3 linked regions of the Arabidopsis thaliana genome follow. The protein of the gene in region 2 interacts with the protein of the main gene of each other region in a pairwise test. Each region holds a gene or a part of one and is shown on either strand. Other genes may lie near its edges. The genes, in order: SYP131, AT2G07749 and RHA1.

Region 1 (10,806 bases), on a different chromosome or scaffold from region 2:
TTATTTAAGATTCCTCTTCATTTTCTCTGTTATGCATGTTGATAACGTCTTTGCAAATTTTCTAGATATGTGATCTTGTCACCATATCCAGGCTTCTAAATGCTACTCTTGTCATTCCAGAGCTTCAAGAAAGTCTTCGCTCAAAAGGCATTAGGTGCGCCTAGCTCTATCCATTTTCTTGTTCTTTTTATCTTTACTTGTTTTATTTTCTGTTAAAGCGTACTTCTTTGCCGTGGTACTAGACTCTTCTTTACTCTAGTTTATTTTTCACATGCTGTGCAGCAACAAGTTCAAGAGTTTCTCCTATCTTTATGATGAAGAGCAGTTTATAGCCTTTCTTAAAAATGATGTTATAGTTATGAAGACCCTCCCTGAGAGCTTGAAAGCCGCAAGAAAAAGGAATGAGTTCCCTCTTTTTAAGCCCAAAAACTCTGCGTCACCAAAATTTTACCTCGAGGATGTGTTGCCAAAGTTAAAGAAAGCTAATGTTATTGGATTGATCGTCTCTGATGGGGGATGCTTGCAGGTACTGAGTGTTTTTTTCTCCTTAGAGTCTTATATCTTGTATGCAGTAATTTTTATATCTATAGAGATATTTGAGTATATATCCTTCTGCCTGCTAACTACCATCACTCGTCATAACATGTTCTAGTCATTTAATGTTTAAATGTAAGTAGAAGTCGTGGGACTAGTTAAACAAGGTGTTTTATCCTGAACGAAGTTGTCTTGTTTTCAGTCAGCTTTGCCCGCTTCAATGCCTGAACTTCAAAGATTAAGGTGTAGAGTTGCCTTCCATGCCCTCCAGCTTCGTCCAGAAATTCAGGTGCTGGCCAAGGAGATGGTTGACAGGTATTTGTGATACTTGCAATTCAAAAATTCATTGAAGAATGGGACGAATACATGATATAGGATTACTAAGGGGGAGAAGAACATTAGATGCTAAGCTTTTCTTTCTTTGATAATGAAGTATATCTAGCTGAGAGCTATAATAATTAAGTTTAGGGGTTACCATTTTCTTAATTTAGATTGGGACTTGATGTAAATGTTAAGATTTTATGTGTCATGGTTTTGTCTATCTACCCCTAAAAACCGTGCATTCCTTACATAATTGAGGAAGATAATTTCCCTTTTCTAGGTTACGTAAATCAGGTCAACCTTTCCTAGCTTATCATCCTGGCTTAGTAAGGGAGAAATTGGCATATCATGGTTGTGCTGAGCTTTTCCAGGTAAAAGTTTTCAACCTTCTCAATCTGTATATTTTTGATAGAACAAACTGTTTATATCAGCTACGTTTTTTTCCTGTGTATCCTTTGTGATTGAGATACATGGGGAAGTAGTTTCTGACTCTACGCATTTTTTCAATCCTCAAAGGATATTCACAGTGAACTCATCCAATATCGGCGTGCTCAGATGATCAAGCAGAGGTTTATTTTAGAAGAACTTATTGTAGACTCGCGCTTGCGCAGGGATAATGGCTTATGTCCTCTCATGCCAGAAGAGGTACGGAGCTTCTCTCAAATAATGCTATATGGATGTATTATTATATCTCGGTACCCTTTGCTTGAATTCTTGGAGTTTACGACGAAGCTAATTTTTTTTTATTTATTTTTTTGTCAAGCAACGTAGCTAAATTTAAATTTTCTATGTTTGTATGTAATTCCCATGTGATACACTGTTTTCAAGCTCCAATTGGATTGCTTACTTACTTCTGTTCTGATGGAACTAAATTGGCTTTATGATGCCAAGAGTTAATTGGAATTGAAATTTTGCAGGTTGGAATTCTTTTGAAAGCATTGGGTTATTCTCAAAAAGCGATCATATACTTGGCTGGTTCTGAAATATTTGGCGGCCAACGGGTTTTGATCCCTCTACGTGCCATGTTCCCTAATTTAGTGGATCGGACTTCTTTATGCAGCACGGAGGAATTATCAGAATTGGTTGGTCCTGAGACACCTCTTCCAGAGAATACATATAAAATGCCTCCTCGAAAAAGCGATAAGCAGCTCAAGGAAGAGTGGAACAAGGCAGGTCCTCGACCTCGACCTCTACCTCCTCCTCCAGACAGACCTATCTACCAGCACGAAAAAGAAGGATGGTATGGTTGGCTTACAGAGAATGACACAGAACCAAGCCCTTCGCCTATGGATCTTAGGAATCAAGCACACAGGTTACTGTGGGATGCCCTTGATTTTGCTGTTTCTGTAGAAGCTGATGTGTTCTTCCCTGGGTTCAACAACGATGGTAGTGGATGGCCAGATTTTTCAAGTTTGGTGATGGGTCAAAGGCTCTATGAAAGACCCTCTTCACGAACATATAGACTGGACAGGTAAGCAGAATTATTGATAAAAAATTACTTACTGCATCTACCGTCCTTCCTCATAGTTAGGTTGATTGCACACCTTTTATGCCGATAATCTTCTTATTCTTTTGGGTTCATTGATCCGTAATTTTAGCTGATACATGCATCTTATGAGTTACTAGCTTTTACAAAATTTCTCTTTTGCAAAATTCATTAACTGTTCACTGATTTGCTCAAACAGGAAAGTTATTCAAGAACTTTTCAACATTACTCGTGAGGACATGTACCATCCCAACCGTAACTGGACACTTCGTGTGAGGAAACATCTTAACTCAAGTTTGGGTGAAAGTGGGCTTATCAGGCAGTCTATGTTGTCGAAACCTAGGTCGTTCCTTTCGCATCCACTTCCTGAATGCTCATGCAGAACCTCAGCCCTTGAGGATTCCAGGCAAATACAGAGTGATGATGGTAGATTTCTCTATGGAGGTGAGGATGAATGCCCTAAATGGATAAAATCAGCGGGAGTGGAAAAGAGTAAAACTGATGATGGTGATCAGCCTGATTATGACCATGACCTTCTCGCTGAACAGTCAGAAACTGAAGAAGAATTTGCAAAAAGTAAGGTAGCTTCAGCTTTTGACCAAGATGAAGAGTGGGATCCTAATGACTAGCGTGACTACTATGCAAATTCTGCTGTGAGGTGTTATTTGATTTTACCCAGATTCTTTCAGGAAAGGCGAAGAAGCAAACATACAGAGGTTTTTTTTATTGTTTTTTACAGTTCCCGGCTTTTTTTCCCTTTCTGAGAATAAGCTTTTAGTATTATTCTTTTGTTAGTAGCTCCTTGCAAGTTAGTTGCATACTCTTTATACGTCAGACCTTCTCAAAGATATCGGTATTGCCTCCGGACGCCCTTATGCATCGAAGGACGGACAACTGATGCAGCAAAGGATGTCCGTTATGCTTCATCCTTCTCTGAGGGCTTCCCTTGAAGCAAATTTGAAGCTGGAGGTATCTTTTGCTCTTCTTTTTCTCATCATTGTAAATCTGATTAAAGGTTCATATTCAGATTCTTTATCCCTTTTTCTCCAATAGTTTTTTTCTGGATTTGTTTTGACACACTACAGATAAAAGATAAAGGTATATTTCAACAGAATTTTAATATAAACTTGCTGTGTCCTGATTCATATTCATATTCATATTCATATTCGTTGGGCCGAGATTGTTCACTGAAATGGTATTCGACTTTGGCCTCTGTAAAATAGTTGATTCATTGATCCGATCAAAAGAATACATCATTTTTATAGTGATAGTGTAAGGTCAATAGTACTTGATGCGATGATACACGTATATACTGTTGTATACAGAAGCCTCAGAAGCAGGGCAGAGAGAATAGAACCTTAGGCACCATTTTTCTGTGTCCATGGTTTGAGAACAGAGATGACAGTAATGATAATAATGATAAGAAGGATAAGGATGGCAATGCACATCCATTTCCTTGAACTTTTCTGGCTTTTTACTGCCTTTGTTAGTTGATTGTTTCCGGATTGAACATGATCCACAGCACTTGAGACCTGTTAGAACAGAAACAGAGTAAGAAAGGATTTTGAAGAGATCTAAGCTCAGGGATTTAAACAGGTACTGAAGAGATTGTTACCATATTCTCTATGTTGTCTAACATCTCTCCCTGTGCATCCACCAGCACGGCCATATCGAGAAACACCTAACCGGAAACATAAAAGAGAAGAATCAATGATGAGAATTCTTGAGAGTTTTTGGTGAATCGGATCGAGGTTTACCTGTTGCAGGTCAAGGAGTTTCTTCTCTAAATCTCTGACAGCGTCATGGCGTTCCTGAATCTCAGCCAGTGTGTCCATTATCTGCACAGAACCAGTAGAAAAGCATGTTATAGTTGTCGTGTTGCACAGATGAGTGCCGGAACATAGATACCAACCTGTCCTCGTCCTTGCTCCCTGATTGCTTTCTGGAAAATTTGCTCACTGTCTCCAGTTTCAATCAATCTATCAACTGTCTACACACCCGAAAATTAACAATCATGAACTAATTCAATAGGGTATTAATCAATTAAATCGGAGTTATAAGAACTTGCCTCTTCATCAGCTCGTTGGCCAGTCACTAACCATTGTCAAGAATCAGAACAACAAAAATACAATTAGCTCTTAAACGATCATTAATGGAACAGGTGAATCTTCAGACAGATTCTCAATTCAAACCTGTAAACACACGCCTCTCTACAACTTCTCTGTATTCTTGTTGAATGTTTTGTCTTAGAGTCTGCAGGTGACAAAGATAAGAGCTTAGGACAACTTTCTTAGAGAACATTTTCTTTTCAGAATTTGCTAAACTTACTTGGAATTCAGATATCTTGTCCTTAAATTTCTTCTTCACCGCACTGCCGAAGAAAAAAGCGTCAAGGAAGACTGAAAGATACTTGTATATAGACAATCTTGAGTTTTAATAGGCTAAAACTCACATAGTTGTGGCTGTTCTTGTTCTGTCTACACCTGTTCCTTTCCCACAACCCGGTTTAGTCCGGTTCTCCAGATTCTGAAGATATCAATCCAAGTCTTAAACAAAAGATGACCAGATCATAGAAACAGATGCAACAAACAATGTATTCATCTCTAAGCCTAACCTCTCGGTCCAGTTCCTCGATCTTTCCTTTGATGAAACGAGAAATTCTTCCCACTTCATCAACATCTCTCTCCATCCTTTGCTTGATTGCTGCGGAACAAAAAACAAAGAGAAACCAAATTTCAGTTCATCTAAATCTTCCATCATGAACTTGTTTCTGTGGTCTAAAATCGAACTCGTTTTGGATTACATTTCATTGCAGGAGCCTTGGTGACGGCTTTAGTCTCCTCATGTGCCCCCTGAAGCTTGTTGAGATGCTTGTCAAGCTTCTCATATTGCTTTTCGATTTCCTGGACCTAAACAATTGATATGATGATCTCAATAGTCATACACATATGTAGCACTGATTGAGAAGAGTTGCAGAGGGATACAAAAGCTTTACCTTTTTGAAGAAACCAGAGAGCCCGAGATCTCCAGAGTTACCAGGGCCATGTCCTGACTCAATATCGCTTCTATTAGAGCGATCCCTGGAGAACTCTAACGAACCCTGTCCAATCAAAACATCTGTCACATCATCTTAGAAACTTACAAGCTTCACAACGTTTGATCTTTGATTTATCCCACTAAATCCAACATAAACCTCCAGATTTATTTGATCATTTTACTTCTATAAACGATTTTTTGAATCTCACAGGAGCATTCTTCATCATGGATTTTCTCGGAATAAATGCCGAACTAAAGAAACGTCAATTCTGAGAAACCTTGTATACCAAGCGAATTTAAACCCCAAGATTCGGAGTTTCTAATTTCAAAATTTAGAGAGAAATTAATAAAGATACACGAAAAGGTTGTTTGGATTAGAGCAGAAATCTCCTTGATCACGTAATGTCAAAGCGAAACAGAGAAAATGTGTGAAGAAAAAGATAAGACAAACCTTTAAGAGGTCGTTCATTGTCGGAGAGAACGGGAACAGAGCAAAAGATCTATAAAAGCATCAGGAAACTTGTCAAACAATTAACAAAATTTTGGCAAAATCAATGAAAAAGAAAATGGCCACAATTAGAAGATAAACAAACCTGGTTTTGTAATAAACCCAGATCTCTTTTGTTCTCTTCCTTCTTTTTGTTTTTGTTTTTTTGGTTATCCTATAAAAATCAATAGAAGAGACAAGGGAGCTTCGTCACCGTATAAAGCAGAGCACAAATGTGAGATTGTTAGGCACGTAAGGTTCGAGTCAACGGTTAAGATTTCATTTGAAATTCTATGCTCTTTATAAAACAACAAAAAAGAGAGGTAAATTTCGTTGTTAACAGATTACTAATCAAATCTTTAGTCAAACTCTTATTTTGGGACAGTATCTTTACAATGAGACTCAAACCAAACAACAGTCAGTAGCTGGTTTCGACGCTTTCTTGCTACACAAGAAAAAAACTAATATTACATATAGGGACCATTAGGTCAATTACAGTCATCTACAAAACCAATGTGTAAAATAGTTAAGTCCGTCTCAGATTCTACTTGTTCAAAGGTATCTATCTCCTTTAGCTCTCAAGAAAACCAGAAAAAAAGCACTAATCAGCGCCTCATTGGCTTCATTCAGTAAAAATTCAAGAGATTCAGAAAGATCTATCCGATCAATCAAAGATTTCAATTAACTGTAGAAAAACAAGACACGTGGTAAGGGAAACTTAAGAAATTTGATAATATTAATGTTAATGTTAATATTACGGGCCGCAAGCTAGTACTTCACCAGCTTAGCCTTTGGGCCGGATTCATATAACCCAGAAAAGGCCCATTCGTTTGGTTTTATATTAAGAAAATGCCCAATTTTGGGTTGGGTTGTGTTAACAAAAGGCCCTATTCTCGTTTGGGTTGTGTTTGTTTTTTGTCTGTTAATTATATCCAATCTAACCGATCCGATTTAACCGGACTTAAATCAAAATCCGAAATTGCCGTTATCCGTTTTGAAATCTCAGGAAGATTGATGATTGATTTGCACAAGAGAGTACTCTGCTTCTGTGTCTTTATATCTTCTTAGGAAACAGTTACACTTTACACCTTCTACATTTCTGACTTTGTTAAGTCAATGTTTTAGATTACACAAGGGAATATTACTGAAATAAATCATATAAGCTTTTTCTTATTATTACGAAATATATACATCTAAAATGGTTTGTGAAGACTACTAAAGAGCTTCATGTACACCAGTGATGTACATAAGCATGAGTATTACTTTGACAGCTACTACCAAAGACTAACACATTGAAAGAAAGAGAAAAAAAATGGCTGACCAGTTAAGAGGAGACCCAATGAACAGTGGAGACATCATCTGTACAGTTACAACTACAACACTTTTGAGTTTTGAGAATGAGAGCTCTTGAAAAGTAATGTCTCATTCACTCACATCATCAAGGCTGGTTTCTGACTACCTTCACGCTACTGTAGAAGCGGCGGAGATCCTTCATGGCTTTTTCTTCTATCTGGATTGATCGGATTGCTGATGGAGCATCTATCTCTGGTTTGAACCAGCGATTAGTTCCAGGCGAATCTGATGGAGATCCTTGCCCGGTTGCGACTGTGAAGCCTGATGTTTTTGTCTTTGGACTGTGGGACAGAGACTGTTGCTTCTTCACCTGCATTAGACAAGACAAAGACACCGAAAGAAAAATGAGCTTTAAAACATAAACTATGATGCAACAAGATAATCTTGTCTACGGTATCAGTATTCTTCAAACAGAGGACAACGTACCTCCTGCATCTGGATATCTCTGAGAGAAGGTCGAGACAGTTTACGCGGAGTTTCAGAGGAAGCCCAAGGAGGAGTTCCTTTTTCCACATCAGATTGCTGCAAACTTTTGGCTGGTTCCATCGGAATCGGCTTCGAAGTCAAGAAGGAACTCAGTAATATCTTTCCTTCACTTTTACCAGGAGAATCATCCCCTGACTGATTTTTAGTAGTCCTAACAGGTTCATGAGAGCGGGTCTTGCTTTGTTCATCTTGAATATCCCGCAGGGAAGATAATCCTTTAGAAATCTTAGCCCCACCCCACACAGGACCTTCAATCTTAGGCCTTGGTGGAGGAGCAACAACAGGTTTAGGGACATCATCAAGAGCACCAGTCAAGAACATGGAAAGCCCACCCTTTCTGTTCTTCTTCTTGTTTGCTGCCGTTGCAAGTTTCTTGCTTCTCGGCGAATCGGGTGGATTATCTTTCTTTTGCGAGAGTGAGACAAAGTCTGATTCTTTGGGGAACCCACTAATCATCGTCGTATCCAACATGGTTTTGCCACCCTAGTAGAATAAATACAAAGCAAAAATAATTCAACTGACGCAGATGGATAATATGATCAAGTGTTAACAAAGGACATTTCATCATGAAAAACCAGTACCCAAACTAACCTTTGGCTTGATAGCTTCACAGATTTCTTCAATTTCTTTGTCTTGCATCGTATCTATTTCCACTTTAACTTCACCAAATTCAGGGAATGTCTCAACTTGTACAAATCTCTGATTACCCTTTTTCTTCTTTTTTCCCTTCTTGTTGGCCTTTCCTTCTAGCGGTAAAGCTGTTGTTGCTTTTGCCTCTGGAAACTCTTCCACAGGAATACCAAGTTCTACCAGTGAACTTTCGATATCTAGTTTCTTTTGAAGTTTTGCTATTTGCTGACCATCAAGAAGTTGTCCTCTCGATTGTTTTGCTTCAAGTATCTCAATTTGTTGCAACTTTTTCCTCAAAGCTCGGACTTCTTTGGAATTGTGTTGAGTCAGCTCATCTTCTGGTTGCAAGAATGAATCCATTCGAGTACCACCAATACTGGAAAAGTGTTTCACATGGCTGTCACGAGTTCTTAGAATGTCGCTCTCACTTTCCTCCTCTTCACTGTCAATAACAACAGGAAATGTGGCTGTTGGGGTTGGAAGTGGTCGGGAGCTCCATGTTTCAGATGATCTGTCATCCAGTAATTTCTCAAGATTGGCAAGAACATCAGGTGATGTATTTGCAATAGATTGGGGAGAAAATGTCAAAATAAAGTCAAGGTTTCGAATCACAATGTCCTGCAGGGAGAACACACGTGTAAGGTAATCATCAGCCACAACATAGAAAGAGAACACTGAACATAAACTTCTCTAAGTTTTGTATCTCTACGGTTTAGTGTGCAATCATCACATAGGGAAGGTTTGCATTACCTCACAGTACTTCTTAAGATCCTCTGCTCCAAGCGAATCCGCAATTTCAAGCAATTGAATAGCATTTCGTGGCTCTACAATACACTCCGCGGCCACCTTCTCGCATAAACTTTTCAAGCTAGGCACTATCCTCTCCTTAGGATTATCGTATTGCACGGATTGCAACACGTTCACGGATTCCACATCGTCAAACATAAAACCCTCATCCAGTTCTTCATTTTCTTCTTCCCTACATTTATCAGCTTGCAGTGTCTGAGACTTCTTAAGCACAATAGGAGCATATGCAGGATGATACAGAGAACCAACAACCAGAAGATGAGTTTCGCCAACAGCAACTGTGGTTGCCCTTTTCAAGTTGTGGAGGCGAGAAAGAGATGGTGCAATATCTTTACCATTCTTCCCATCCCACATGTAAACTTCACCTGTACTAGTAACAGCAGATGCCCAGTATTTACCCGCTGAAATGCTCACAACTGTTTTACCGTGCAGCGAATGCAACTGCAGGAATCAGGATTAACCAAATTTTGGTTATTACTATGCGAGACATATTGAGTTATATGTTTTTTTAAGATAAAAAAAGAAGGTTGAATCCAACCTGTTGGCATCTAAGATTGGAGTCAGAGGAAACCCAATAAAAGAATGCACCATCTTCTGCTAGAGCCAAGCTGTGTACCATTCCCGCAGCTATTGCAGTCAATCGAAGAGGTCTCCTTCGATGAAAATTCAATAGTGTGTTCCCAGCTTTCTTTAAATTCCGGGAAATGATAACACGTCTTGGAGTCACCAGCCGATGACCCCAGGTGTACACCTGGTCACAGAAGAAAGAAAGAAATACTGAAGAAAAATAAATTTTTATCCAAATTGAGTTCTCATACTCTAGTTCATACATTCTATAAACTTTACACACTGAAATAATAGTATTAAAACGTTTAACTTAACATGTAGTAAGAAATTTTACCTCTCCATCATTTCGCAGCACTAGAGTGTGATATTTTGAAGATGCAATAGCCGTGAACACTTTTCCTTTCAAGTAATCAACCAATCTGGGAGAGTAGTTTGATGCTGAGTTGGAGGTTCCATAACCAAGCTGACCTTCCTTGTTGCATCCCCAAGTGAAAACTTCACCGCAGTCAGAAACTACGGCGGTGTGTTTGTTTGCTGCAGAAACAGCTACAATCTTCGCCTTCAATGAAGTCACTTTGCGGGGTGTTGCCTGAGTATCCACAGAGGTATAACCAAGCTGACCCTCTACAAGAGCATCACAAACAACATCAGACTCTAAGATAAAAGACCACGAGGTGACCCAAATAGATTGAATATATTTCCATCTAATTCAGATTAACTAAGAAACTGGGCTTAGAGGTCGAAACTAAAACTTGAGTATACTATAGCACTAAAGATCCATTCCTGAAATATAGGAAGCCGTTTAAGTGTTTTACCTCTATTGGAACCCCATGTGTACACATCCCCGCCTTCTGTAGCAATAACAGTGTGGTGCTTAGCTGCCGCAACTGCTTTTACACGGCGAGATCCTAAACCAGATATCACCTGGCGGGGAGTAATCACTGCAGCTTGACCACTGAGATAGCAAACCAGAAAAATAAACTCAATTGTGGTTTATATAAACTTACGAAAAGCCTATGGTAAGCTACAAAAAAAACTACCAACCTATGATTCTATGTACGCTTAGAATAGAAGACTGTTTTTATCTTTCAATGTTCCA
Region 2 (10,307 bases):
AAGTAGGTCTCCAATACTGGGAGACTGAGGAGAATGGGAGTTTGTGGGTTGAGGGTGGCATGCTCCCCAGGGCCCTCTTTTTTTTAGATAGGTAGGGTAATGCATTTCAGTATGAATTTGATCTAGCAGTGTAAACCTGAGATTTTCAAGAGTTGGCTTCCGCTTATTTTGATTATTAAGCGTAACGAGACTAAAAGAGTCGTGAAGCGAGTCGGAAAGAAAGAGGCGAATCTACAAGAGTCTGATTTTTTATATGTTAACGGGCGGAGATTAAGAGGTGGGCAAGTTGGTAGGCTCCGGAGAATAGAATGCAATGGAGGACCTAACGCCTAGTAAGACGGGGAAGGAGTGTTATGAAAGGGAGGAAGAGGAAAAGCTACTCTTGAGCCTCCTTGCTCAAACCTGCCTTCTTCGGGAACTAATGGATGTCTATTCCGTTCTCCAGCTCCATCAGTCCACTAGCCAGTACCACTTTCAAGTAAGTCTTCAGTACTAGTGTCAGCGGGCAGGTTTGAAGATGTCTTTCCTGGTCTATCTCCAGACTTGGCCAGAGAGTAAAATATGCGTTTTCGCACAGTAAGGCACTTTAGACTTTGATTTCCGCTAAATCTTCAAGATAAAATGTCTTTGCCTCAGCTTCACATATGGCTTACCATCCTCTTCTAGTAAGGAAGTCCTTCCCGCCCTTCCTAACCTTACCCGTAACCACGACTCCCTTTGATTATCATAAGTTAATATTCAAAATGTGGGTCTTTCTCGTCAGGTCTATGTTCTTGCTTTCAATTCAATCTTTCCAATCGGGTCTAGAATGACAATTTATCCCAGACAAACAAGTCTCCTCTAGCTTAAGGAGTAGTCCATAGCTAATAATCTATGGTACTAGCTTATTCCAGTCATTGAGCACAACTTCCTTTTCTGTTTACAGAGAATAGGATAAACCTCTATTCCATCCGGGCAAATAAGATGCTCGCTCACTCCACTACGCCACTTGCTGTGCAGTCTCCAATACGCCACTTGCAGTTCCACAGAGTGTTTTTCTAATCTTCTTGAGTATAAAGAGGAATCTAAGGGAAGACACTTCATTGCGGGAAGCACCACACGCCTGCTTCCTCCTCTAAGCAAGCAATAGCCAGAGCTCTGAAGCTGAAGTGAGCCAAGCTCAACAATCTTGAATGGCTTACTCACTCAAGCAGTAAGGCGACTCCGCGGGCTCAATCAGAGGTTCCAATGCAAAGCCCAGCTATGAAGCGAATAAAGAGCAGTTCGCACTCTCGGTGGGATGGGTCGGGTTCGGTCAATGAAATGCCTTTTCCAAGCACGATCAGGCTTCAGGGTAGCTTCTGGGAGTGCTCTACGAGAAGGCATATGTGTTACATCTTGAGATATTTGTTTAGGGCAAACGGTCACCGCCATTTCTCGTATGAAAGGCTGGACTGTCGCAATCAAACTCTCCGCCTGCCGGATCATCTCTATCAACCGTCTCGGCCGCACCTTCTTCCGCATCTGTCTCAACTGCTCCTTGTGCGGGACTCTGGATACCTATAAAGCTCCTCTGGGCAATCGTATTGGTTCCAATCAGCATTCCTAACCTCCGTCTTCTCCTGAGCGTCTGGACTGCACTGAGTGCCTGGACTGAAAGGATTCTCTTTCGCCATTTAGAACTTCCCCGTGGTAGCATAGCATAGTAGTGCAAGTGAAAGTAAATAATCAAAGACGTTGAAAAAAAAACCTTGTGATCGATGTGGGACCTTAGATAACAAAGTAGCGATAGGGCGCCTAATTCTGGTCATTTAGAGCATCTTCTCTTGATTCACTCAGAAATTACCCTTTCTCTGAAAAGCTTCAACTCAATCACTTGGACAGAGGGATTTGGCCTACCAACTGCAGGCTCTGGTGGGGGAACGGTATCCATTGCCTGCTGCCCCATCCCAATAAAACGTGTTTCTCAACCACCCCTGTCGACTTCGCACAAGCCAACCTTGCACTAACCCTAAAAGAAAAATCCAGTATAAAATCCCGAGCGGGGAACCACCAAGTGCAGCTAAAGCAGGGCCGCTAGGTCCGAAGAGTAACTGCCCTTCTGACTTCCCTGTCCGGGATCTCTTCACTGAATGTGGAGGCGCGTAGCGCTGCGAAAAAGAAAGGGTTGCCTTCCATGCCAAGCCAGCACATGGACCGGATTGTTACTCGCTACGCGCCTCTGCATGGTGAGATGGGAACAAGTTGTCATGATGTATGCAGGTAAGTGAGCGATGAACGCCTGTCTCTGTTGCTGCATGTGCTGTTTGTTTGTTTCCGAGGTGGTGTGGTCTGCCCCCGAGGAATGTCTAGGAGAAGGGTTTTCTGCTGTGATTGCACCAAGTGCAGCTGCGGGTTAGTATCTCTTCCTAGGTGGGAAGGGGCACGACGAGGAACGAAGTCAAACCATACCACGTACTCACACCATTGTTCATACAATGTCTATAAGCGGTGTTTTCTGCGATATGTGCTTCTGGCTCTCCACAAAGGAACATCTCCAAGGGAGGGGGCGTGAGCTGCTTAAGCTTCATCCCATCCCGAATCCTTGCAATTAACACACCACGAAGATAGGGACTGAGAGGTAATCCTCTTCCAATCCACCACTCGAGTGGTAACCGATCAGGACCGACTAAAAGCTTACTAGATAACGCCTGAATCCGACTAAAACGCCGGGATAGGGCCTTAGTGTAGTGTCCATTTGTCCTAGCACGCGGTATCCAGCTTTATTTAACCTTAAACAAGTCTTAGGACTTAACTTGTACTTATAGGCCAACTGCTGAGTACCAACGAGGAAGTAGCTCTCAAGCACAGCTTTCGCAGATACTGGGGATAAGTCCTTCGACATTATCTTAACCCAGAACCGCTTGGCGAACTCAAGACAACCCGTCTCAGATACAATAGACTTGGCATCAGATATATCTACTTGCAAAGCATCAAGTAGAGAACGGTACTCCTTAGCCACACTACGATCGGCAATGACGATGTCATCACCTAACAAAGCGTAGTCGAGAAATGGTCTCGTCTGATGAGGATATGCTCGTAATGCTGCCAACCACACAATAGCATGGTGGGACAACGCGAATAGAGCCCAGGAGCCGTAATAACCCAAAGGTTGACCTGCAACAAACACAACTTCGTCATGCCGTCCAGTAACGGACTTCAAAGAGCATGAGTTGAGTGCTAAGGCACCATTGACAATGCACGATGCCATCGTTTGACCGAAAAGGCACGCCATAAGCTCATATATGACTGGAACGGGCCACCGATCGGTGGCAGCGCTCAAGTCAAAACTTGCTATAAATCTTGGGCGTCTCTTTGCCAGACGATGGATAGGACCTTCTTGATGGAAGGTACCGTCTTGAGAGACCATTTTTCTTTAAAGAAAGTCCCGTTTTAATGATTTACAGAAATTTCAGTTTTTTTTGTTCAATTCTTCAAAAAAAATACTTCCTGCCAAAGCGAGCAAGTCGCCTATTTCAGGGAAGCTAAAAGCATGTCGTCCCGCCTATAGTCGTAGCCAGTTCCCTTGCAGGCCTTGATTAGCAAGGAATAGAGAGAGCATTGAAAGTACGTAACTCTCGAACTTGTTTCTCGAGAGGTTGTGAACACAAACTCGACTGATAAAGGAGAGGTCCGGAGGTATTAACTAGTTGATGAGGTCTCGACGAGCGACTAAAAGGAGAGGTACTGACGTGACTCGAGTGAAACTATATTGAGGAGAGGGAAGGGGACTTATGTAACTATATTCCGAATCCTTCTCCCCATCAAAATCTGCCTCCCTTGCCCATAAGGAGAGAGTCTCCCTAGTGAGGAATCCTTTAGAACTGATGACGTCCTAGCTGTGAGCTGACCCAAGAGCTACACTGATTAGGAAGCAGATTCCGCACAGAAGACCAAGCAAATCTCCTCTTCTAGTCTTACCCCCAGGCTGTGGTGCTACGAGATGGCAATTTATCGTATAGAAGAATAGATCCGTGGGCCTATTGATTGACCATAGATCATAGAACCGATCGACTGCTATCTAAGAGAAGATAAGTAGTTCTTCTATCGTTCAAGGGCAAGGGGGAGAACATGTAGCGGCTTGCCTAGATCTCGTATTTCCCACGTAGTCCGTAGGTCAAACCAAGGATTCTCTTCACAGTCTTAAAGGATGTATCTCTCCTTTGCGCTGACTTATGCTCTGCGAGCTAGGAGCGCATCATAGGGGCAGGGCGAAAACGAACATAGGATCATCATCATGGCCCTTTTCTTCTTTCTTTTGCTGCTGATCTCACATCGAGAGCAGCTCCTTCTTGTTCAGGGTCATCAGATGAGAGATCTTCTTCCGACTCCGAGAAATCGGTCAAACGGGAGGCTACCCTCTCCTTTTAGTCGAGTAATCAATCCCTCGACTCATCTCTCTATCCATAAAAAAGCCCTTCCCAGAGGAGAGCGGAAGCTCCAGGATGAGTATGCCCTGGATTCCCGGATTCATTCTCGTCCTGATCCACTCTGGAATTTTCGGAATCTACAAAAACATTCTAGGAAAGGGCTCGTAATGATCTTCTCAAAGATCACAAGGTGCTGAAGTGGCAGGATAGGAGGGGGATCCGTAGGTTTTTGTGAAAGGGATGCTCTTACTTATCATGTCTGAAAAGAAAAACCGAATTCCTCGATTTCATTCGATTCATCCACATTTCCATTTCTTGTAGAGGAAGGCTAACTGTGCTTGCTGGCTGGGAGCTGTATGAGCGGTAACGTCCACGTACGGTTCCGTGAGAAGGGCGGTGGACAGAAATGGCCTTGTTGTACCTTACTCTCGTCTTCAATGGGGTCTGCTCTTTTTTTTTTGGGAGAGTATGCCAATATGATCTTAATGAGGTGCGGAACTTTGCATCTGACATTCGTTGGGCTTCCCTCTTCGGGAGCCTGCGTCCCGGCCGTTTTTGTGCAATAAACCCCTCCGGCCGAAGACTAGTGGTAGGTGGTCCCGCGTAGCTTTCGGAGAAGGGTAGCCTTGTGTGTAAGCACAGCAATGAACCGCGGCGAACCCTCAGACGACCTATCTAAGATTAGGGGGGGGGGGAGATCCTCAGTAGTGGTGACCCTTTCACCTCTTCCCACGGACTGATACATGTACCGAATGCTCATACGGGAAAGTTGACTCCTGGGTCTGGAACCTGGGGGGTTGCTCCGAGAAATCCTTTCTTTCTCGTCCACTCAGGGGGGTGCGGACACACCCGCGCGGATTACAGGTGACGGTTACAAGAATGGCGGGGAAGTGAACAGTACCCGACGACATTCAGGGATGGATGTAGACCCATCGGGCAGGGATAATCATTCCGGTCCTGGGAGAGGTATTGATTACTCGACTAAAAGGAGAGGAACCCCATCGACTGAAAGAAGAGGAGAGGTGGCGACCATTTTCAAGAACCAAAAAGACTGAACTGAGGGAAGCCCTATGAGTCACTGAAACGACGGCAGGAGGGGGCCTTTGATTATAAAAAAGGGGAGCAAAAAACGAGCTTTTCCCCCCTTTACAATATGAAGAAAGAAAGAAGGGTTGAAGTTTAGACCGCTCACAGTAGTTCTACCTATAGAAAAGATCATGAAAGAGGCGATCAGAATGGTACTCGAATCCATTTACGATCCCGAGTTTCCAGACACATCGCATTTCCGCTCGGGTCAAGGCTGCCACTCGGTCCTAAGACGGATCAAAGAAGAGTGGGGAATCTCTCGCTGGTTTTTAGAATTCGACATCAGGAAGTGTTTTCACACCATCGACCGACATCGACTCATCCAAATTTTGAAGGAAGAGATCGACGATCCCAAGTTCTTTTACTCCATTCAGAAAGTCTTTTCCGCCGGACGACTCGTAGGAGTTGAGAGGGGCCCTTACTCCGTCCCACACAGTGTACTACTATCGGCCCTACCAGGCAACATCTACCTACACAAGCTCGATCAGGAGATAGGGAGGATCCGACAGAAGTACGAAATTCCGATTGTTCAGAGAGTCAGATCGGTTCTATTAAGGACAGGTCGTCAGTCTACAATAATTTGGTGTCCGATTTTCGGCTAGTGGACAGCTATACCAATAATCCTGTATACAGCTGTATAATATTTTTTATAAAGGATTATCGGTGAGCAAGAATTAAAATGTAGTTTTGAGTTTCGTTAGTTAACCTACCTTTTTCTTTTGGTGGTGAGTTTCCTTTTAGGGGGTTACGAGCCTTTAGCATTCAGATTGGGCAATGCGAGATAGATTGATTTACATTTACCTCGAGGATAGTCTTTCTTTTCCAAGCGCGCTTTCCCAACCTGCCATATGTCCGATACATAGTCGAGGGCTCTATACGAGCGCCTTTCTTTCAACTCTATCTATTCTTGCTTTTCAAACATTGTATTCCTTATAGAATATCATCTCATGTCTATCTATAGTATAACGTTTCTCATAGTGGCATAGCGGCTCCGAGGTGATTCTTTCTGGTATCCGTCCTCTCTCATACTGCTTTAAGGTTGGAGGATTTAGTTCAAGCTAGTCTCCTATGGTGAAGATCTCTATATTTGTTAAGACTGTATGAAAGAAATCACATATAGTAATCATCTAAGAATATATCTATACTATAATGGTTGCATCTAACATTTCTCATAGTGTAGATAAGGCAGTCCCCGGAGCTAAGAAAACTACGCTATTCAAAGCAATCCGCCCAAGGAAGGCTAGCTAGTCGAGTCTAATGCTAGGCTAGGTGATTCCTCTCTATCAATGACCGAAGCTTAATCCAGAGAGAGAGCTCACTATACCACCAGGTTGCCACATTTGCTTATGAAACAAGAACAGCTTATCCCGAGGCTCTGAAAGACTGAGGGTAGTCACTCAAAAAGTAATCCGTCACTTCGCCCGAAAAGCACTATAGGGGATTCCGGCCAAGCGAGCATAAAAATACAATACCCAACTTTCTGTTTCAGCCCACTCCACTTCATTGACCGAGACTTTCTATTCCGAACCGGTTCGGTTAAAGACCTAGCCACGAGACCAACTCCGGGCTGTCTCGTAAAAGATCAATTCCCAGATGCTCTTACTCGACGCCCACAGGCAAGCTTGTTTAGAGAAGGAGAGTTCTCTTCATCAGGGAAACTGCTCAACCTCCACTATTTCCATAAGCATGATTATGCACTAGCAGACATAAAGTGCCAAGAAGAGAAAACGCATAACTCATAAGCCAAAGATGTATTCGATCCTGAATTGAACGTAATTTTTTCCGATTGGTTGGAAGGTAAGGATAGCATGATTGACTGGTTGCGGGTCCCTTGGATCATGGGCCACAGCTATTTGGATAGATTCAGATCCTTTCATGTAGTAGAGTCTTTGATGGGCTCGGATCCTTTTCATGATTTCATGTGAGGACACCTTTGGCGGGCTTTTTTGATAGATCCAGGATTTCTGTGCGATATCGATCTTCTCTTTATGGCTTTGGTTAATCTATCGTCTAGCTGTCTTGGTCTTCCGAAAAGGCGAAGACAAACGCATGGATTTACTGTATTCTATGACTAAACCAGAATCACCCCGGAGTGAGCTGTTCCATAAGGGGCTCATATTATCCGACAGAGCAGAGCTATCATGCCGAAGAAGCCTTTTTCTTTCTACGCCCCGGTGGCATCTTGACTTTCCTAGGTCTCTAATAGTTCCCCATAAAAGAGTCAATGGGCTGAGCTGATCGAGTCCCATTTTCTGGCTGCAAGGCCCGGCCCGAGTAGTCAATGGTTGCTACCGCTCACTGCGCTTCTCTGTACCATTTCATTTCTAGTCAAAATGGATCCTGGGCATATCTACTGACCCGACAAGCTGACGTAATTCTATCCATCCGTAGCTGTCTGTGCCGCTACCTCTATCCAGCAGATCCAGTGCCAACCGATCTATATCTAGCTTTGGCCGGCCGGGCCAACCCACCTATACAGAGTTGATGCCATGCCCGCCTAACCACGAAAGAAAGCATCCAATATTTCAAGACTTTCTCCACAGAGCTCTAAAATCCTTTCTCCGAAGATCCAGGCTCACTTTTTTAGGCAATGGAATGACCCGAGCAAAGGAAAGGGATCAAGGCAATAACTACGCGCATCAAGGTGATACCTAGACCGAGCGAATCTGACCGTAGCCTATCATACTGAGTGAAAGCGTGCCGAACCAAGGGAACTTGCCTTTAATCTTAGGCTCGCAGCTACTAGGTGCGTACCCTTGAACCTAGCTCGCCCTAGGGTACAGGCATTGAAAGACGGCTTTCAGAATAGGCTTTTTTGTACGAAGAGAAGGTTACACTACTATATAAGATAAGTAATTCATTATAAGATAAGTAATTCATTGTGCTAAAAGAACCACTTTGAGGATCAATCCCTTACTGAATGAATGTCCTTTTGATCAGTGATCACAGAAGGAGAAGGCACTGTGAATGAGAACCTCTTTCCTTTCTGGCTACCAAACGTGCTAATAAAAGAGCTTATTCTGAGTTTGAATTCCTCGAATTCTGTAAGCTAGCTTGGTCTACCTGCTTTGTTCTGATTTCATTGTATTCCTCCGTATTCAGCATTCGCGCCGGTGTCACAAAAAGCAAAAGCATATCAATTCGTTGAGGCAACTAGTCTTGGTAAGGTTTTTTCCACTGAATGAGAAGTTTGTATGATCCAGATGTTTTGAAGGCGTGTTTGCCCCTGTGATACGCGTACGAGGAGTCGACGGGGAAGAGCCGTGCTGGGGTTGGAAGAGGTTCCAGCTTTAGAGGAGCCTCCCTATCTTATCCCTTGTTGGTCTTATTTGACAGCTCAGCTTTGTCTCGGGCAGATTTTGGTCCATGATGGACTCTTTTTATTTATTTTGACGATTGGATTTCTATATGAATGGAAAAGGGGTGCTTCGGATCGGGAGTAAAGTGATAGGGCACAAAATGGGGGGAAAAAGAAAGGAAAGAGAATAATGCCCACGTTTAATCAATTGATTCGTCATGGTAGAGAAGAAAAACGGCGCACGGACCGTACTGAAGTTTTGGTCTTTGGTTTGCTGGTTACACGTATTATCCGTTTTGTACATTCTGTTTTGTTTCCCATCCCAGTCTTTTGCAGCATAAAAGTCCTTTTAGATTCCTTTTGTTCGCTTCCTATTATAAACAAACTTTCCAAAAAATGGCAACTGATTTGGTTTTATGTTATTTCAGTTATTCTCTGTAAATCTTTATTTGCTGTAGGATACTTGTGGATGGACGACTTAAGTCGTGCCATTTCTCAGTTCTACCCGGTGGTATCCGGAGGACTAGGAGGAGGAAATACGCCAATGCCCCCGACAAATCCATCTGAGGGTGGTCTTTTAGAAGGATATTATGCTCATGAGAATGAGCACTCTCACGATCAGCAGAGGGGTTCACCTTTCTGGTCGAAAGAGTACAAGGAAAGTGGCTCAAAACGCCTTTTCTTGAACCTCGAGGTAGAGGATCAAAACACAGATACCATCGGGGAGCAAGTAAAAGCAGAGAGTGATAAATGCGAAAAAATCAAGGCAAAAATAATAGCAAAAACACATGAACTCTTAGTATCCGAAGGTTACCATATTCCGGATGAACGGGATATAGAACGAGCAATAAATGTTGTGATGACTGAACATGAAATGATCGATATCGATCGGCGTAAGAAAAGATTCTACTATCTTTATTCCCGGTTAGGAAAAAACGGAGACAAGTTTTGGGTGGAGCTACTGGAATTGCTGTCTGACTACGACATAAATAAAAGCGATTCCGACGACTAAACCGCCATTTCAGGTTTACGTCTTTTGTTAGGTCTCGACTTCTTCGCTATGATCTTCCCGGTAGTTCATATAGGAGCTATAGCCGTTTCATTCCTTTTCGTTGTTATGATGTTCCATATTCAAATAGCGGAGATTCACGAAGAAGTATTGCGCTATTTACCAGTGAGTGGGATTATTGGACTGATCTTTTGGTGGTGAGTTTCCTTTTTTCTTTTTTTCGCTATGCGCCGCTCCGCCAGCAAGGAGTGCCACGCACAAGCAGAGCGAAAACAAACAAAGCAGGGGAGGGGGAATTATTCGTTGGGGGAAATCCTTTGATTGCGTATTATAGATCCATGTCTTTCTTGTTCCACTAGCTAGGACAAAATTTGCACATGTCCGTTTCGTTATTACAACCTTCTTTTTTGATGTCAAAGACCAGAAGCTACGCGCAAATTCTCATTGGGTCTTGGTTGTTCTTAACAGCGATGGCTATTCATTTAAGTCTTGGGGTAGCACCACTAGATCTTCAACAAGGTGGAAA
Region 3 (10,258 bases), on a different chromosome or scaffold from region 2:
GATTTCATTATGGTAGTGCTTTTGGAGAAAGAAGTGGTCATGCTGACAAGGTTGAGACTATAAGGTACTCTTTTCTCTCTTATATATAAAAGTTCTTCCATATATAAACTTTTGTTTTGGCATTTAATGTCACCGTATGCTCTTCAATCATTTCAGTGCGACCCTTGTGGAAAAAGGGTTTTCATACAGTGGGAAGGACTTGTTATACTCAGGTACTGCATTATGATTCTGTACACATTTCAAAATGTGCAGTTATATGTTAAAGTGCATTCTAGTGTCTGTTGTTTATTTCTTTGAATACAGAGTTGTTTAGGATCTACACTAAAATGGGCCAAGACATTATCATTTTACATTGTTAACACCCGGACATACTCATTCTTATTCCAAAGCTATATAAGGGTTCATGATTCTTTATTTGTACATCAACCTGACGACCTTGAGAGTTTTTCAGGTATCAGTGGCGAGCCAGTGGAAGCGTACATCTTTATGGGGCCAATATATTACCAGAAATTGAAACACATGGTGAGGTTCCTCTTAACTTATTTGAACCATCTTCTACTGTTTTGTAATCACACAAAAAAAAAAAAAAAAAATTCTAAATATCAGAGTACAGTAACATTTTTTCTGAAAATGTAAAGAGAAATTCTCGTTTTTGTACATATGTTAAAATAGGTTCTGGACAAGATGCATGCGCGAGGGAGTGGACCACGTGTTATGATGACAAGACAGCCTACTGAAGGGAAATCTAAGAATGGAGGTATGTGCCTCTTGCTTCTGTATCTTCTTCACTCTGGACTTTCTATTTCTGTATTTCTTGATTTAGGAAATAATTTAGAATTCCATTTTACTCTTGTTACGTTATTGTTCTGTTTTCTACTAATATAGTAAGGTTTTTGTCAACTTCTCAATTGTATCTTTAATGCTGTTGCAGGTTTAAGAGTGGGAGAAATGGAAAGAGATTGTCTAATTGCTTATGGAGCCAGCATGTTGATCTACGAGCGGCTCATGATATCTAGTGATCCTTTCGAAGTTCAGGTAATTAAATCATAATGCACTGTTTTGAATTATGACAAACCTTGTGAGAAATGATTGCAATTTTGTGATACACTGTTTAAACGTTTGAATGCAGGTTTGCAGAGCTTGTGGTTTGTTGGGTTATTACAATTACAAGCTTAAGAAAGCAGTTTGTACAACATGTAAAAATGGCGATAACATTGCTACTATGAAACTCCCATACGCATGCAAGCTACTATTCCAGGTAAAAACCATTGGTCTATTCTTCAAATTGAAACTCTCTACTTCGTCCCATTTGGAAAATGATAAAATAATTCTGATCTCTGGATATAAATTTCTTCCTAAAATAAGTAAGAATCACTGATGTTTTCGGTTTTACTGGTTTGTTTCTCTGTTATTTCTTAATCGTTGTGCGCATTACGTGGTAACAGGAACTCCAGTCGATGAATGTTGTTCCGCGTCTGAAACTCACAGAGGCTTGATCTCAGAGAAATGTTATCAAACTGTTTTCAACTTGGATGATTGTATTTTATACGACTTCGGTTGCTTTTGGTTTGAAATTTGGTGCCTCTGTCAAAGTCCTCGAGGTTGGATCATATTTGTTTTGTTCTCATTTGTTGTACTGAAACCTTGGAATAAAATAGAATGAAAAATGTTTTTAACTTTTCGTAGAAAGAATATCAGCTGGCTTGTTACCATCTCTTTACCCAATTGAACTGTATCTCTTCAAATTTGTTCTTCCAAAATCTGACTTCATGGGTCCTTTAATATGCACCAAATTAAAGTTTTAGTCTTGTACCATTGATTAGTGCAACCAAGACTCTAACATCTCCGTCAAAGCAGACCTTTTTTGTATTAAATTAGTATTACGTTTTTTTGTCACAATTGTGTTTTATTCATAATACAGAGCCAATATGATAGGTCAATATTTCACAAATACTGAAACAAACAAGTCCAACTAAAGGAAAAGCTTGTTGTACACAACATATAAAACATGTTGCAAATGGGAAACAGGTTTGGAAGACACGTGGGAAGTGGAAGGGATGGGAGTCTCCGATCACCCACAGATCGTTGTGACGTCTTTGAGACGTTGGAAAGTTTCAATTCCGGCCAAAATTTGTTCAATCGGCAGATCTCAATCTTGGCCCAAAGATACAAAGGCGAAATTCATATTTTAGCTTTGACGAGAATATGACTCCACTTTATTCAAATTTGTGAATCTTCTTCTTCAAACAACAGCTTTTCAATCTTCAAGTTGCAGTTCATCAATTGGAAATCGAAAGCTTTGACAAGAATATCATTCCACTTAATTCATAGCCGGACGAAGATGCTATCGAAGTGAGACCAAAGTCATTGGAGAAGAACGCCGGCAAAATCTGAACGGAAAAACTTCTTTCTCTTTGAAAGATGAAAGAAGAGAAGGGAGAGAGAAGCAATGCCACTTTTTTTTTTCAAAGGTGTTTCTTTTATTGATATATACATTCATATTACAGCATTCCAACAATGGAAAAAACATTTTGGAGATTTAAGTAATACAAAAGATAATAAGCCTATAAATCTGAGCATTCACTTAAAACATAAACGAAAGATAAGCACATTTTTTTCGGACTAAGTTTTGTTTTCTAATTACAAAAGAGATATATATATATAAATCTCTCCAAATACAAATATCTTCAGATTTCACAAAGGCAGAATAAGTATCATCATGATATACACTGTTGTTGTTGTCAATGCAAGCAAAGTAAAGTAACAAAGACGAAGAAGAAGCAAACACATGAAAGTCCAGATGTTCTCTACTATGTGACTAACCAAATGAGATCTCTCTTCAGGTACGAATCTAAGCACAACACGATGAACTCACTGCCGTAGCCCCTGGCCCGTTTGGGAGAACCATTCCTGTCGGGTTTTCAGCTGGCTGTACACGTGGTAGCCTTTTCGCTGTAGCGGTTTGAACAAGAGAAACAAAAGTGAAAAAGGGATTTAATTGAAAACAACTAATTGTTGGAAATAGCTTTCTTGATGAAAGAATGACTCACCTATTTCGTAGAATATGTCTTTGACATTTGTTGCGGTCTTCGCTGAGGTTTCCATAAAGAAAAGGCTGTTCTCTTGAGCATATATCTCTGCCTCCTGTAAATAACAATATCAAGAACTACTTAACAACACAACTCAGTAATGAAAAAAACAAGTCGGTAGGTGATGTAATAGAAGATTTCACAGGCACCAGTCGAATCTCATCCCCGAGTGTTAGTTAACATTTTCTCCCGGTACTTTCGAATTTCATCAAGATTTTTGGCATTAGCAAAGCAAAATCAGACAGCAAAAGAAAGAAAGATTTAGTTTACCTCTGCAGACACCTTCCTTGCGTCTAATAAATCAGCTTTGTTTCCAGCAAGAGCCATCACCATATTAGGGTTACCTATTCACATGATCCACATTAACATATAATGATACCAAATAAACCACACCAACTATCAGAAAGTAGGAATCATAAACTAGCTAAAACCAAAGTCAGCTATTCCATACCTTGTGCCTGCAGTTCCTGAACCCATTTCTTCGCCCTCTCAAATGAGGCCTGTGGCAATAGAAAAACAAAAATTAAGCAAACCTAACTTTGCAGAGAGCCTTAAACTGCCACTAAAGTCCACTGATATTCTGTAAGTCAGTGCATTCGTGACTAAAAACACAAGGATCGTGAGTTCGTACTTGATTAGTAATGTCAAAGACAATAATAGCAGCAGCTGCACCCCTGTAGTACATTGGAGCCAAACTGTGGTATCGTTCCTGACCAGCTGTATCCCATATCTCAAACTTCACAGTCGCATCATTCACAGCCAATGTTTGAGAGAAAAAAGCTGCACCAATGGTTGATTCCTACAACAAAACGAGTATCAAAAAGTCAAGAATCAACCACAGGAACGAGAAGAAAACCTCTATCAAGATCACAGGAGGAAAATGCCACCAACCAACCTGAAATTCAACAAACTGATCTTTCACAAACCGTAGCACAAGACTTGATTTTCCAGCTCCAACATCTCCTAGTAATACCTGAAGCGCTTAACCAAGTTAACCACCAAAAACAAAATAAAGGGGGAAAAAAACAGATTTTTCTTCTGACTCGTTAGAACCCTAAAACAAAACTACCAGATCGAATAAAATCTATAACCTTTACTCCAAACCCTAGTTTTATACTGATAAACCATGCGATTTCTAATTCGATCACAATCATCCAATTTCAGATCAGAGAATTTGGTTGAAAATTCCCCAAATTGGAAACAGAACTAACTCATCGAAATCAACGATCTAATCAAAATTGACGATCATCCTTCAAAGGATAAGCAAAATCCAGAAGAATTAAACTGACCAATTTGGCGTTGATGTTCTTGTTTCCAGAGCTAGCCATGATTGACTGATTGATTGATCTGAAACAGTATTTGAAGCTCGAGAAACTTCTGCTAAAATAGAAACAAAATTGAAGATGGAACCACGCGTTGACAATCGTAAGACGGAGAAGAGAGACCGAAGAAGCTTCCGTCAACAAACAACCAAATTTCTCTCTTTGTATCTCTCTCTCTCTCTCTCTTGAAGACGAAAGCAAAAAAACAGAGAAGAAAGAAACAACTTTTTTATACGGCTCGTGAATATGACAAGAGGAGACTTATAACTAAAAAAACCACAAGATTATCGAAATTACGATAAATCCCTATATTTGTCTAAAATACTAAAAACGCCCCAAAAACAAAAATATGTTACACGCTGACCTTCATATATTGTAGACGATGTCTCTTAATAATAAAGTCGATAATTGTGTATAGTTTCGTTAGTATTTCATAGATTCTTTGTAAACCATGGTTAGTCTCCCTTTTTTCAACAAAATCCAAAAATTTTGGTGGTAGTGATGGGACAAAATGTACAACCATGTTCATTTCATAGTTAGCAATAACAACGAATAATAGCGATTACTATAAACTATAATGATTAAAAATAACGACTAAAACATGTTTTGTAATCTTTAGTCACAAGTTGTTAGTTATGTAGTCCTTGGTTCAAAAAAAATAACATTTTAAATTATGGATTAGTAGTAGTCAATTATTACTTATGATATTTGTCTTTATTAATAACAAATGAAATAAACACAAATATTGTCAATACAATAGAAGCATTGTGGCGAGTGTTTAGCCAAATCCTCAATAGTAGGTTGTTGTCTCACGCGTCAAAACTGGCCGTGTGATTTAATTTTGTCGGTCATGAAGTCGTATTGGACGGTTTAAGACGAGACTGTTTTACATGTTTTGGTACCTAACTCGAAGATACTATGAATCAAATTTCTTTGGTAGTCAAAAAGAAAAAAAACTTTCTGTGTAGTCGAACAAAATATCGCTATCTACACAAATGCTGAAATGCACGTTTTTCCATATGGGTTATGGGCTTTCATCAGTGGAGCCAATTATTTAGAATTGAAGACGAGAAATTAATTTTAACTTGTTTATTTTGAAGAACAAAATTGGATGACAAAACATTATGGATGTTCAGAATAGCTATAAGATGTTATTGCTAAGTACCATTTTTGAAGGATAGCTATAACATGTTAGTAAAAAAAACTTGTCTATAACTTATAATTATAGTGAAATGACGGAATAACTGAATAATTATTAGTGGAATGAATTGAACTGAATAAATTAGTTTAATGGATGAAAATATAGTTCTAGTGGATTAATCATGTTTTTTTCTAGGTATATTGACATGCTAGTAGCCTAGTAGTATACAGCCGAATTACTTTTCGAAAACGTGAAATCGAAAAAAATTTGATAAATATTTTGAATGTAAAAAAATAGCGTTTGAAAACGTGACTAAGCGATATACCATTCATCCTTATAGTAATTTTTTGCTTAGGGAGTTTTTTTTTAGAGGAATGTTCATTCTATTACATTTAACGTAAATGGTAAACTTTTGTCAAAATATTACAAATGTTTCATCCAATCATAATCTATCCATCTAGGCTCTAAATACACATCTATTTTCACGGGAACATCAAAAACGTTACACATGTATACTGTGTGTGTATGCATTAATTTGTGGTGTATAAACAAAGAAATTTTAACAGATCATGTTGTTTTGTCCCTTTGCACAACTGAAAGTCTAATACACCTCGTATTCCACGACGATTTGTTCCCAAGTTCCATCTTCCAACTCATTCTCTCTATATATAGTAAAGTCTCCACCTCAGGAATAATCATTAATCCAAAAGAAGAAAAGTAATTATAAAAAAAACATTACATAATCAAAAGAAAACTCCCACCATATACAAAGAGTCATCGAAACAGTTTAAACAACAACAAAACAAACATAAAAAAAAAAAAAAGATGAAGCCAAAACAATTCCGAAATCAACTCATAAGATTGATGACTTTTTTTTTTGTTCATGAGCCTTGGTTGAGTCCATGTGAAGCAGCTTCTAAGACACAATCCATAGCTTGGAAGCCAATTCTCTCTTTCTCCAAATCATACACAACTTTCACATTCTGCTGCTGAAAGCTCCCAAAAACTCCGGCCGGTCCGTAGTCTCCATCTTCCATGTTCTGAAACAACAAGCATTGCACCACGGAACCATCGCTAGGGGCGCTCATTGCGTAAAAAGAGTTACCTTGCGGGAGAAGTAAGGTTGCATTGTTCAAGAAATGGAATGTAATTGAAGGAAATATCATCATTACATCGTTTTCGAGGCTAGTGAGATTGTTGTTAGGACACGGGACTTTGTAGCAGAGATCAAAGCCTGTTCTTGATTCAGTTTCAGTGGCTCTTGGGTATGTGATTGTTGATTGGAGAGTTGTGAGGAGTTGTGAGTAGAAAGGTTCGGGTAAATGTGTGTAAGTCGTACCCGAATCGACCAACATTCCTCCATTTCCTTGTGAATCAAATTGTCTTAAGGTTAAAGGAACTTGTGTGGGAGTGATATTTGTGCCTATTGTAATTGATTCTAAACCGATGTAGTAGCTGTTGGGATACATTGGAGTATTCAACATGGGAGTAAATTGCAAAGAGTCGGTTAGATTTATCGATAAAGCAGAGGCTCCTAGGATCAAAGGGCTAGAGATGTTAGGATTGTTGACAAACTTGAAAGGCAAGAAACAATGGGAAAATCCCTTTTCAAGAAAGCCTAGTTGCGAAGGGAGAGAGAGTAAACCTCTTCCAAATCCAGCAATGCCAATAGGTTCCCGGTAAGTGGACGTTACGCAGCCAAAAGAAAACCTTGGAACATCCCTAGTTCGAGCCTTCAGTATATCCCTGGTTAGTATCCCAGAGATAAGACCACCTTCACCATAAGTATAAGCAAAGGAAGGACAAGGCCTTACGCAAGTAGACTTGAGAAGCATACTCACAGAGCAGCCGGCGACTGCACAAGGGTCAAAAGGATTGTCTGAGCTATGGATCTCGACGCAAAAGGAACTAGCACAAGAATCTCTAAAAGATGTAGATGAATGAAGAGGAGAAAAGACCGATGGTGATTTTAGATCGTTGTTCTTGAGATCATAACATTCAATGCAATCAAAACTTAGATTCCCACATGGGACCCATGTGAGATCACTTCCTGTGTCCAAGTACACTTGAACTGCTTGTGGAGGTGTTCCAATGTTTAAGGTTATCAAATAACCATCTCTCACTTCTCTCAAGGGTTCCATTACAACATCTACTGATGATAATGGCTTCTTGATCCTTTCTTGGGTTTGAGACTTTGGTGTGGGAAGAGAAACACTTGATTTGGTCAAGGTAAGGACAAGAAAGGAAGATGAGGAGGAACTAGGGTTTTTATGTTGTCTTGCTTGGGTTTTGTTGGTGGTGTTTAACAATAGAGTGATGAGTAGGAAGAGAAACAAAACGTGTGTTTGGGTTTCCATCGCTTAGCTTACAAAGATAATGAAAAAGAAAACAAATGTAAAATGAAAGGTTTGATTTTGTATATGTTTAGTGTGAAGTTAGTTCCGGTATTTATAGACATGAACGAGGGTTTCAAAACTCTTATTCAAACAATTTTGCTGTGCTTTCTAATTAAGGAAGAAGAATTAGTATTTAAAAAATGTTGGTAAACTTTTTTACTTTTAATATATTTGATCGTTTTATAACCAATTCCTACTACACGGATACTACGACTTAGTGGAATCAAACACCTATGGAAAAAGCGAATCAAAAATGGAGTTAATTAACTATTTAACTAATGTTGGTAAACTAATTAAGCTTTATATGTACTTTTCCATGTGATATTTTAAGTTACGTCATTTTTCATAAAATGGACCGCACTTCATCAATCATCACTGGAATAAAGTTAATTTTGCGAACCTAAAACTTATTATGATAGTTTGATATTATGTGATTATATTTAGGATATTTTATGCAAGTTTGAATTTGGATGATAAGGAAATGACATAAACTAATACACACTAGTAAGTTATACGTTGTAGTGTAAAAAATAAAATTTTCGGAAATATATATTGCTTTTCTGTTTTAAAATATATGATATATTGGTCGAAAAACATATTATAAGTTTTTTTATCTTCAAAAACTATCACATTTTTTAATTTAAAAATGTAACCAATTATATAAAGAGTTGCAGAAAATTATATAGATAATATTATTTTCTTTATGACGTACCAATGAGTGCACCATAGATATTGTACTCAGTAGTATATCATTTTGCATGTTGTCCAATTAAAATGTATTTTTGTGGAGCTTCACACGTAAGCCGCTCCACCAAAAAATTTATATCTTAAAACCTTGTAAAAATTAGAAAAAAATGGTGGACCCAGTGCTTTAGCACTGCCAGCACTGCCTCTAAGCCGGGCCTGAATGGATATTATATAAAATACAAAAAACGAAAATGCTAGTTTTGAATGGAAACCTCGTATTGATACTGTGTAAAGTATATTACTTTTGATAATTACTAATCACAAACGTGACATAAATTATTATTTTTAGATATTTCGTATAGTTTTCATGTACTATATTTTTTACAATTAGAAGTTATATGTTAAATCTTATCAACGTAATAATTTTTTATGCTCAAAACATTGTTTAGTTTTTTTTTTAATTTACTAGAACAACACCTCCAATCAGTTCAATTTAACTCAACTATTTATTGAAAACAAATTAAGAATTGTCGAATAAGAAATGTAGAGTGTCAAGGAGCGTTCTAGGATAATCTTTTAGGATTTAGAGGATTTGAAGTTTACCATGACGTACTTTCTGAAGGGTATTTTTCATTGTCTTAGTGATTCTAGGTATGGGAATAATTTTTATGTTAGACCTATAGCAGCGAATCGTCATCATACTAGGGTTAGTCTCCTGATTGAAGCATCTCTACTAGACTCTGAATTTGAAACTGAATTCGTCTTAGAAAATGATGAGCAGAGCGTACCATGTCAATTAGCTCATTTTAGAATCTCTATATCATGTAAGGAAAAAATATTTAGTTAACAGAATTTTTCCAATGAAAGATGCATTAGCCAACATAACAGATTATAGCATAAAATATTTTTATTATTATAAGCGGTCAAAGTAATAATTTATACGTCACATGAACGTATAGTCAGAATCTAAGACCATTTCCATTAGTAGTCTCTCAAGATAGTTTCTCACTACTAAAATAATTTAGAAAATGAAAAGAGAAGAGAGAGAGTGTAAAAAAATTTTCAAGATAGTTTCTCACTACTAAAATAATTTAGAAAATGAAAAGAGAAGAGAGAGAGTGTAAAAAAATTTTCAAGTGAAAAACTATGAGATAATCTATACAAGTCATCATAACATTTCTCTTATTTTAAATGGTTCAATTTTTTCACTAAAATAAAAATTTAATTAAGTAAATATTAATAATTTTTTTGTTTGAGAAACTTTTTAGGTTTCCGATATACGACCAATTAGACCATTTTTTCAAATACTGATAAGTAGGAAGAAAAGATATGGTCACATTAATATGACAAGGAAGAATTCAGGGGCCTATTAGTAAATTGCATCTCGGGGTTGCCTGGAAAGTGAAAAGATCACAGTCGGAGAAGTAAAGAGCCATGAGATGGAGGTTTTAGCAAAGGGCACAGAGAAATTATGTGCGATGAAACCTTAGAAAATTAGGTGAAGATGGAGGATTCAATCGCCTTATAGTCCTTAATTCTCTGGTAAATATCAATTATTTTGATGAGTTCTCAAGGAAAGAAATTATTTTTGATGAATCTTACATAGCTTTGCATTTTGTCCTT

The links.
Region 1: the proteins of AT2G07749 (region 2) and SYP131 interact in a protein complementation assay, tested with the Arabidopsis thaliana proteins (one large-scale study listed by BioGRID).
Region 3: the proteins of AT2G07749 (region 2) and RHA1 interact in a protein complementation assay, tested with the Arabidopsis thaliana proteins (one large-scale study listed by BioGRID).

The regions. Positions count from the first base shown.
Region 1 is NC_003074.8:964,354-975,159, reverse strand, and holds SYP131 (syntaxin of plants 131), read right to left. Parts: upstream 6,111-10,806; 5' UTR 5,971-6,110; intron 5,923-5,970; exon of another isoform or gene 5,878-5,922; 5' UTR 5,847-5,877; coding exon 5,829-5,846; intron 5,442-5,828; coding exon 5,337-5,441; intron 5,251-5,336; coding exon 5,145-5,250; intron 5,045-5,144; coding exon 4,956-5,044; intron 4,868-4,955; coding exon 4,794-4,867; intron 4,713-4,793; coding exon 4,670-4,712; intron 4,595-4,669; coding exon 4,534-4,594; intron 4,436-4,533; coding exon 4,410-4,435; intron 4,332-4,409; coding exon 4,254-4,331; intron 4,180-4,253; coding exon 4,099-4,179; intron 4,023-4,098; coding exon 3,957-4,022; intron 3,874-3,956; coding exon 3,700-3,873; 3' UTR 3,469-3,699; downstream 1-3,468. Other genes in the region: EDA30 (O-fucosyltransferase family protein), read left to right, coding at 66-154, 283-526, 737-849, 1,136-1,226, 1,372-1,500, 1,773-2,326, 2,541-2,970; AT3G03790 (ankyrin repeat family protein / regulator of chromosome condensation (RCC1) family protein), read right to left, coding at 7,149-7,223, 7,324-7,527, 7,644-8,186, 8,295-8,951, 9,084-9,581, 9,679-9,891, 10,042-10,331, 10,523-10,662.
Region 2 is NC_003071.7:3,240,315-3,250,621, reverse strand, and holds AT2G07749 (Mitovirus RNA-dependent RNA polymerase), read right to left. Parts: upstream 3,389-10,307; coding exon 2,648-3,388; 3' UTR 1,265-2,647; downstream 1-1,264. Other genes in the region: AT2G07776 (uncharacterized protein), read left to right, coding at 4,256-4,585; AT2G07655 (uncharacterized protein), read right to left, coding at 4,419-4,509, 4,639-5,063, 5,138-5,299; AT2G07773 (cytochrome B/B6 protein), read left to right, coding at 8,963-9,784; ABCI5 (Cytochrome C assembly protein), read left to right, coding at 10,159-10,307.
Region 3 is NC_003076.8:18,238,654-18,248,911, reverse strand, and holds RHA1 (Ras small GTP-binding family protein), read right to left. Parts: upstream 4,650-10,258; 5' UTR 4,418-4,649; coding exon of another isoform or gene 4,379-4,417; 5' UTR 4,244-4,378; coding exon 4,181-4,243; intron 4,063-4,180; coding exon 3,985-4,062; intron 3,889-3,984; coding exon 3,721-3,888; intron 3,590-3,720; coding exon 3,541-3,589; intron 3,434-3,540; coding exon 3,360-3,433; intron 3,145-3,359; coding exon 3,051-3,144; intron 2,953-3,050; coding exon 2,852-2,952; 3' UTR 2,462-2,851; downstream 1-2,461. Other genes in the region: NRPC2 (nuclear RNA polymerase C2), read left to right, coding at 1-64, 157-212, 452-522, 673-757, 932-1,035, 1,130-1,258, 1,446-1,496; AT5G45120 (Eukaryotic aspartyl protease family protein), read right to left, coding at 6,434-7,909. UniProt on the Arabidopsis thaliana protein: Involved in the trafficking of soluble cargo proteins from the prevacuolar compartment to the central vacuole. Involved in vacuolar transport of storage proteins with EREX as effector. Regulates membrane trafficking to protein storage vacuoles (PSVs).